Linked DNA regions of Oryctolagus cuniculus. The protein of the gene in region 1 interacts with the protein of each later gene in a pairwise test. Links are inferred from orthologs where the notes say so. Each region holds a gene or a part of one and is shown in the gene's direction. Other genes may lie near its edges.

Region 1 (3,502 bases):
GTGCGTGCATGCCCCCGGCACCTGCCTGGCTCCCTGCTTGTTCTGTCACCCTGGGCGCCCTCTGTGGACGTGGGTGACTCCCCTCCCTCCCCTTCCTGTGGTTGGTGGTTGTTTCCAAGTCTTTGTGTTGCTAAATCTTTGCAAATGGTGGCATTTCTAGAAGCCCTTGTTCAGCTAAAGGTGATCCAAGATCCAGGATCCAAAAGGCTCCAAACCGTAACCGTTGGGCACAGATGTGTATCTCAGCAGTGAGACGAGTGCGGCCCGGTCTCCGGTGCGGTGAGTGAGGCCAGCACTCCTGCAGCTGCGAAGCAGCCGGGGGCGGCGGGGTGCTCAGTGTTCCAGCCCCTGCCAGCCCCTGCAAGGCCCCGGGTGGAGCTCCTGGCTCCTGGCTTCAGCCTGGCCCAGCCCGGCTGTTGTGGGCATTTGGTGAACCAGCGGATGAGGGCCTCTCCGCCTCTCCCATAGATGAACCCTAAAACGTGCAGACCCCAGGTGCAGCTTTTCCGTGTTGTGCCTGCACGACGCGGGCAGGGAGTGAGCTCTGTGCGCCTGTGTGGGGTCCTCTCCCCAGGCGTGGGTCTTCCAGTTGGAGGAAAGCCTGCGGCCTACTCAGCCTGTTCCGAATTGGGAGGCTTGTGTCAGGAGTGCGGGGGTGTCTGGCAGCTCCCCCCGCCAGCAGCCCTGTCCAGCCATCCTGGGCACAGTCACAGCTGCCGGCGCCACTCAGCTGTTGGCCTGAGGACGGCGGCGGCTGCGGCCGCCACTCAGCTGTTGGCCTGAGGACGGCGGCGGCTGCAGCCGCGGAGCTACCCCCGTAGGGCCAGATACGCGTGCCCTCTTGAAATGATGCAGTCGGGATTTCTGTGTCTTATTGGGCAAGGTGAAAGGTCACGGCCCTGTGTCTGCCCGCGCCATTTCCTCTTCGTTGTCTCTTCTGGGTCTTGGTTTTGGTTTTGCTGCCCACTGGGAGCTGAGGGTCGAGGCGCCGCTGTTGCAGTCACTCCAGCCCGTCTGCCGGGACTGACTGCTTCTGTCTGGGGTGGGGTCGTTGGGGAGGGGCCAAGGCTATGGCCAGGGTGTGGCCACAGTCACCGTGGCCCAGGACACGTGGACAGGCAGAGGTTGAGTGTGTGCAGGAGCGAGACTGGCTGCTGCCACGTGGTCCCTGTAGCCCAGGACACGTGGATGAGCAGAGGCCCAGTGTGTGCATGCCTCTGTGAGCACAGGCATGTGCGTGCGAGAGCACACGCGTGTGTGCGTGCCCTCCGTCAGCAGCCGGTGTGGCTCTCTGCAGGTTCTCCCACGGGCAGGTGGTCCCTGTCGATGAGCTGCGTCCCTTCCAGGACCCGGACCTGAGCTCCCTGCAGGTCGGCTCTGCGTGTCTGGCCAAGCACCAGGACGGCCTCTGGCACCCAGCGCGGATCACTGGTGAGGCTGGCCCGGTCACCTTCCTGGGAAGGCCTCCGAGCGCCTCCCTGGGGTGGACCCTGCCTGGTCCCCTGCTCCCCGCTTGTAGCCGCTCACCTCAGCCTGCCTGTCCTTGCAGATGTGGACAGTGGCTACTACACAGTCAAGTTCGACTCCCTGCTGCTGAAGGAAGCGGTGGTGGAAGGCGACGGCGTCCTGCCCCCACTGCGCACGGAAGCCACCGAGTCCTCCGACTCGGAGAGCAGCGACACAGACGGCGCCAGCTATGCCCGCGGTACGGCCACGGCCTGGTGCCCAGGAGCCAGGACGGGGGGACGCCCAGCGGGGCCAGTGGGGACTGCTGCTTCGGTCCTCGCTGAGCATGCGCGGGAGGACTGGCCGTGCAGCCCCAGGGCCTGGCACCAGGGGGCGTCCAGACAGCGTCCAGACTGCTGGGGCAGAAGTGGCCGGCAGGGAAGCTGGTGGGCGTGGCCAGCCCTCCAGAGACTGGTGTGTCCCTGGCCCTGTACCCTGGGCGATGCAGGCAGGATCGAGGGTGGGATTTGGAGAAGGGGCCATAGCGAGGTGTGGGGGGAGCTGGGGGCGGTCACGAGCCCACAGGTGCACAGGGACGTGCCCGGGAGCTGGGATCTGGCCTGGCCCAGTGACTGCCGTCTTGTCCCCTGCAGTGGTGGAGCCGAGCGCCGTGGACACTGGGACCTGCAGCTCTGCCTTTGCTGGCTGGGAGGCGCACACGCGGGCCATCGGCTCCAGACTCCTGGCTAAGATGGGCTATGAGTTTGGCAAGGGTGAGCGTGAGCTGTCAGCTGCCCGGAGGCGGGGGAGGGTGCCCAGGACAGCCCTGGGGTGCAGCAGCAGCACGGCCAGCCCCTGTCTCCCCAGGCCTGGGCCGCAACCTGGAAGGCAGGGTGGAGCCCGTGCAGGCGGTGGTGCTGCCGCGGGGGAAGTCGCTGGACCAGTGTGCGGAGATCCTGCAGAAGAGGGCGCAGGGGGATGGGGCAGGCGCCAGCAGGGCCCCGCGGAGCCGGGGGCGTGGGGGCGGGCCCGGGGGTGCCCCGCCCCCTCGGAGCCTGTTTGACTTCCTGAATGAGAAGCTTCAAGGCCAGGCCCCTGGGGCTCCGGAGGCCGAGGTGGCCCCGTCCAGGAGGGGCAAGGACATGTACCACGCCAGCAAGAGCGCCAAGCAGGCCCTGAGCCTGCGGCTCCTCCAGACGGAAGAGAAGATCGAGCGGACACAGCGGGACATCCGGGCCATCCAGGAGGCCCTGGCCCGGAACACCGGCCGGTATGTAGGCTGCGGACACCTGGCCCGGAAGCAGCAGGCTGGCCTGGGGGCAGTGGGCCGGGGTCCATGCTGACTGCTCCCTCCCTAGGTACAGCGTGGCCGCCGCCCAGCTGGAAGAGAAACTGGCAGGAGCCCAGCGGCGGCTGGGGCAGCTCCGCGCCCAGGAGGCCGGCCTGCAGCGGGCGCAGAGCAAGGCAGACACCCACAAGAAGATGACGGAGTTCTAGAGGCCCCACCCCTGGGGCTGGAGGCCCAGGACCCCGCCCCCGGGGCCGCCCTGACCCCAGGACACTGCCTGAAGAAGGACTCTGCTCCCAGGCTGCCCCGTGGTGGGCTCCCTGGCCTCGGGGGCACAGACGCTGTCCAGTGGAGGTGGGGCTGGAGGGTCACTTCCGGACACCTGCCGTGTGCTGGGCCTCTCCTTAGGACATTAAAGTCACTTCATCAGTGTTCCGTGGAGGCTGAGCTGTGGGTCGGGGCGGGGGGGGCACGCTGCACAGGGCTCCAGGAAGGCTGTGGGGGTCGGGGGGGGCCACGATGCACAGGGGGCTCAGGAAAGCTGTGGGTGTCGGGGGGGGGGGCACGCTGCACAGGGCTCCAGGAAGGCTGTGGGTGTCGGGGCCACGCTGCACAGGGCTCCAGGAAGGCTGTGGGTGTCAGGGGGGGGCACGCTGCACAGGGCTCCAGGAAGGCTGTGGGGGTCGGGGGGGGCACGCTGCACAGGGCTCCAGGAAGGCTGGTGTCCTCCCTGTCTCCCAGCCGAGGGGGTCGGCCCCGTGCCCTGTT
Region 2 (4,046 bases), on another chromosome or scaffold:
AAACTCATACGGCCAAGCTGGCCCAAGCGGCATCAGTAGAGACAGGATTTGAACCCAGGCCCGAGGGATTCCAGAGCCCCGTCCACCCCACCACACTGCAGCCTTGGCCCAGGAAACCCCCCTCCTCCTGAGTCTCCCTCTCTTGTCTTGCTCGCTCTCTGCTCCCAGACTTTCTGTTCATTCTGGAGTCGGGGGCCAGAGGCTGAGCCACACCTGCACGTTGCATTGACCACAGTGTCAGGTGGCCCCAACTTGGAGGGCAGAGGGGATGGTTGTCCTCTCTGAGTGTTTGACTTGACCTTCAACATCTCTGGCCAACCAGCCTCCCCACGTCTTTGCTCTTGGCAATGTTCAGGCTGGTTGAGACTTCTGGCTCCGGCCCTCCTCAGCTCTGCAGTGCCCGACAGGACAAACGGGGGTTAATCTGTCCCTGCTAGGCAGCGACATGCCTCTCCAGGAGAAGGCAGGGGCTTTCTGGAATGTGCCCCGGCCTTATCTGCAGAGGTTTGCCCCAACGCGTCCCGGGAGCAAGCAGAGGTTCAGTGACATGTGCAGTTGGCAGGTGGCGGCACCATCAATCAGCCCCCTGTCAGGGCTCAGCCTGCTGGGCTTTTGCAAGTGTGCCAAGGCCATGGAGGCTGGGGTGAACTGGAGGAGAAGGAGAGATCCTTGGGTTGGAGGGAGGGAGGCAGAGGAACCCCAGGGAAAGGACAGATGCTGGTCGCCTCAGTTGGATCAAGTCTTCCTCTCCTGTCCTCAGCCTGTCTCCCGGGGCCCCACAGCTCATGTACCAGGTCTGTGAGCACAGAGCAGGGTTTGGGAAGTACAGTCCCCACTGAGAGTGGGGAGCCGTCTGTGTCGGAGCAAGGCTCCCAGGGCAGGAGATGGTGGTGGCCAGGGTCTGCCCATGCTGTGGGTCCTTGGGGTGGGAGAAACCCACCGAAGGCACAGCTGGCTGGGACTTTGCTCCCTGCTGCTCTCTCTCCTTTCTCCTGGAGTAGAGAGATGGACCCGTAATCCAAGTGTTAAAATCATGGCCTGGGGCAAAACACCATTCATTCTGAATCATCTTTTGTTGCATTAAAAAAAAAAAAAACCTGCAAGGAGCCACGTGGAGGTGTGCAGGCAGCTGTGTTTGTCGGGAGGGCAGAGGAGCTGGCTCGGCTCTGGGGGAGGAGACATGGTCCTGCACCCCCCACCCCCCACCCCCAGGGATATATAAGGAGCTCCAGGCTGGGGAGACAGGCGCTGTGCTCTGGTCCCAGCCCAGATACCTGCCCGCATACCCAGTGTTGGCTGAGACCTCACCGGCTGCCTGACCATGGCTACCACATTTCTGCAAACTTCTTCCTCCACCTTTGGGGGAGGCTCTACCCGAGGGGGCTCCCTCCGGGCTGGGGGAGGTGGCTTTGGTGGGGGTAGTCTTTATGGGGGAGGTGGCTTTGGTGGGGGGAGTCTTTATGGGGGAGGTGGGAGTCGCAGCATCTCGGCTTCTTCTGCTAGGTTTGTCTCTTCGGGGTCAGGAGGGGGCTATGGGGGCGGCATGAGCTGCGGCTTTGGTGGAGCAGCCGGTGCTGGTTTTGGTGGCGGCTTCGGAGGGGGGTTTGGCGGTGGCTTTGGTGACTTTGGTGGTGGCGACGGCGGCCTCCTCTCTGTCAACGAGAAGGTGACCATGCAGAACCTCAATGACCGCCTGGCCTCCTACCTGGACAAGGTGCGCGCCCTGGAGGAGGCCAACGGCGAGCTGGAGGTGAAGATCCGGGACTGGTACCAGAAGCAGAGCCCGAGCAGCCCGGAGCGCGACTACAGCCAATACTACAAGACCATTGAGGAGCTCCGGGACAAGGTGAGCCCCAGGTGACAGCAGGAGGGGAGCAGGTGCCAGGTGCCCTGCACGTGTCTGCTTCTGCCTGGGTGATGACTGCGTTATGTGCAACCTCGGCAGAGTGGCCGTGCACCTGCGTTCCAGGAGCACGCGCTGGCGCACATCTGCTCACCTTGGCAGTGTGGGCAGGAGGGCTCTTGGGAATCCCGTTAGGTCCAACAGGGGCACAGGTAGGGGCAATTATGGAGAGCGACTCACCCTCCCTGTCCCACACGCCCTGCAGGAGTCTGCTCAAAGTGTTCCTTTACCTCCTTGGCAAGAATGGTGCTGGGGTGTAACCGCAGGAGCCCCGAGTGCCAGGACCTCCCGCTGCGCCCTTCCAGGGGGCTTTGGTGCCAAGAACACTGCCAGGACTTGGGGGACCTGGGAGCTCTTTCCAGGCTCTGCCACTGTCTCCCTCACTGGCACTGGTTTCCTCCCCTCTAAAACGCCTTCTCGGCCCCCTCCACGTTCCGTAGACGCACAGCTGTGTCAAGGAGTGTAGGGGGCAGTGGCCGTGAGCTGTGCCCAGAGGGGCCGGTGCAGGAGGACCCTGGGGAGGGCTACGGCTGGAGCCCACTGCACCTCACTCTAGCACATTCTTGGCCAGCCACATCCCACGGGGTGGGGAGGGGGGGTAGGGTCCCAGGCCATGCCCTGGAGCCGAGGAGGGCAGCACCTCAGGTGAGGCTGCGCCAAGGGCCCCAGGGGCTTCCCTTGGTGGTGCCAACCTGGAGGTGGTGAGCGAGGGGTTGGCGGGTGGCAGGAGGGCAGCAGGGGAGGGAGGAATCCCTTAGGCATCCGAGCTCCTGGTCTCCTGCAGATCCTGGCCGCCACCATCGACAACTCCCGGGTCATCCTGGAGATCGACAACGCCAGGCTGGCTGCCGACGACTTCAGGCTCAAGTGCACACCTGCCTCCCCCGCCCCGCCCACCCCGCGTTCTCCTCTTTGCTGGGCCTTGCTCTCCCTCCGACTCAGCCGCCCGGATCCCTCTCTCTCCTCAGGTATGAGAACGAGGTTGCCCTGCGCCAGAGCGTGGAGGCCGACATCAACGGGCTGCGCAGGGTGCTGGACGAGTTGACCCTGGCCAGGACCGACCTGGAGGCGCAGATCGAGGGCCTGACTGAAGAGCTGGCCTACATGAAGAAGAACCACGAGGAGGTGCGACTGGGGGTGGTGGTGGTGGTGGGCGTGGCGGGGGGGGCTGCTGCTTCCTTTGTCACAGCTGGTAGAGTGCTTAGTGGCACAGAGGCCCTCTGGTCCTCTAGTGTGAACTGCTGACCTCCTGTGTCCTCCCTGGGTGGCGCCTGGGGCAGGCAGGAGATCCTCACGAGCAGTGGCGGGCGTGGTGAAGGCCAAGGTGACCGTGTGAGTGAGGGGCACAGCCACGGTGGGCATGCGGGACCCCAGACTCTCGGCTCTCTCTTCGGCTCCTCCACCCTGCAGGAGATGAAGGAGTTCAGCAACCAGCTGGCCGGCCAGGTCAATGTGGAGATGGATGCGGCGCCGGGTGTGGACCTGAGCCGCATGCTGGCCGAGATGAGGGAGCAGTACGAGGCCATGGCGGAGAAGAACCGGCGGGACGCCGAGGCCTGGTTCTTCAGCAAGGTGGGCCTGCCCTGCCCCACCCTGCCCGGCCAGGCCCGGCTCCCCAGGTCTCGCAGGAGGCCCCCGGGGCTCACTTCTCTCCTGCGTGTGACTCACAGACCGAGGAGCTGAATAAGGAGGTGGCCTCCAACACAGAGCTGCTTCAGAGCAGCAAGACGGAGATCACAGACCTGAGACGCACCATGCAGGGGCTGGAGATCGAGCTGCAGTCCCAGCTCAGCATGGTAGGGCCGCCTGCCCTCCACTGCCCGCCGCCTGCCGCCGGCCCGCCTCCACCGGCCAGGGCCCTGGGCGAGTTCTTCCCCACCTGATGTGTCGCTCCTGCAGAAAGCCGGGCTGGAGAACTCGCTGGCGGAGGTGGAGTGCCGATACGCCACGCAGCTGCAGCAGATCCAGGGGCTCGTGGGCAGCCTGGAGGCCCAGCTGGGCGAGCTGCGCTGCGAGATGGAGCAGCAGAACCAGGAGTACAACAGGCTGCTGGACATCAAGTCGCGGCTGGAGCAGGAGATCGCCACCTACCGCAGCCTGCTCGAGGGCCAGGACGCCAAGTAGGGCAGGGATGCGGAGCAGC

Evidence for each region.
Region 2: the proteins of ZGPAT (region 1) and keratin, type I cytoskeletal 15 interact in binary tests that used the Homo sapiens proteins (3 or more experiments, as listed by UniProt). The two-hybrid records come from large-scale screens. The link is inferred for Oryctolagus cuniculus from reciprocal best matches to the Homo sapiens genes ZGPAT and KRT15.

What each region holds. Positions count from the first base shown.
Region 1 is NC_091442.1:341,323-344,824, reverse strand, and holds the end of ZGPAT (zinc finger CCCH-type with G patch domain-containing protein), read left to right. Parts: intron 1-1,297; coding exon 1,298-1,431; intron 1,432-1,549; coding exon 1,550-1,705; intron 1,706-2,099; coding exon 2,100-2,219; intron 2,220-2,313; coding exon 2,314-2,716; intron 2,717-2,804; coding exon 2,805-2,943; 3' UTR 2,944-3,166; downstream 3,167-3,502. UniProt on the Homo sapiens protein: Transcription repressor that specifically binds the 5'-GGAG[GA]A[GA]A-3' consensus sequence. Represses transcription by recruiting the chromatin multiprotein complex NuRD to target promoters.
Region 2 is NC_091448.1:21,109,364-21,113,409, forward strand, and holds the start of keratin, type I cytoskeletal 15, read left to right. Parts: upstream 1-1,245; 5' UTR 1,246-1,321; coding exon 1,322-1,846; intron 1,847-2,687; coding exon 2,688-2,770; intron 2,771-2,871; coding exon 2,872-3,028; intron 3,029-3,313; coding exon 3,314-3,475; intron 3,476-3,573; coding exon 3,574-3,699; intron 3,700-3,802; coding exon 3,803-4,023; intron 4,024-4,046.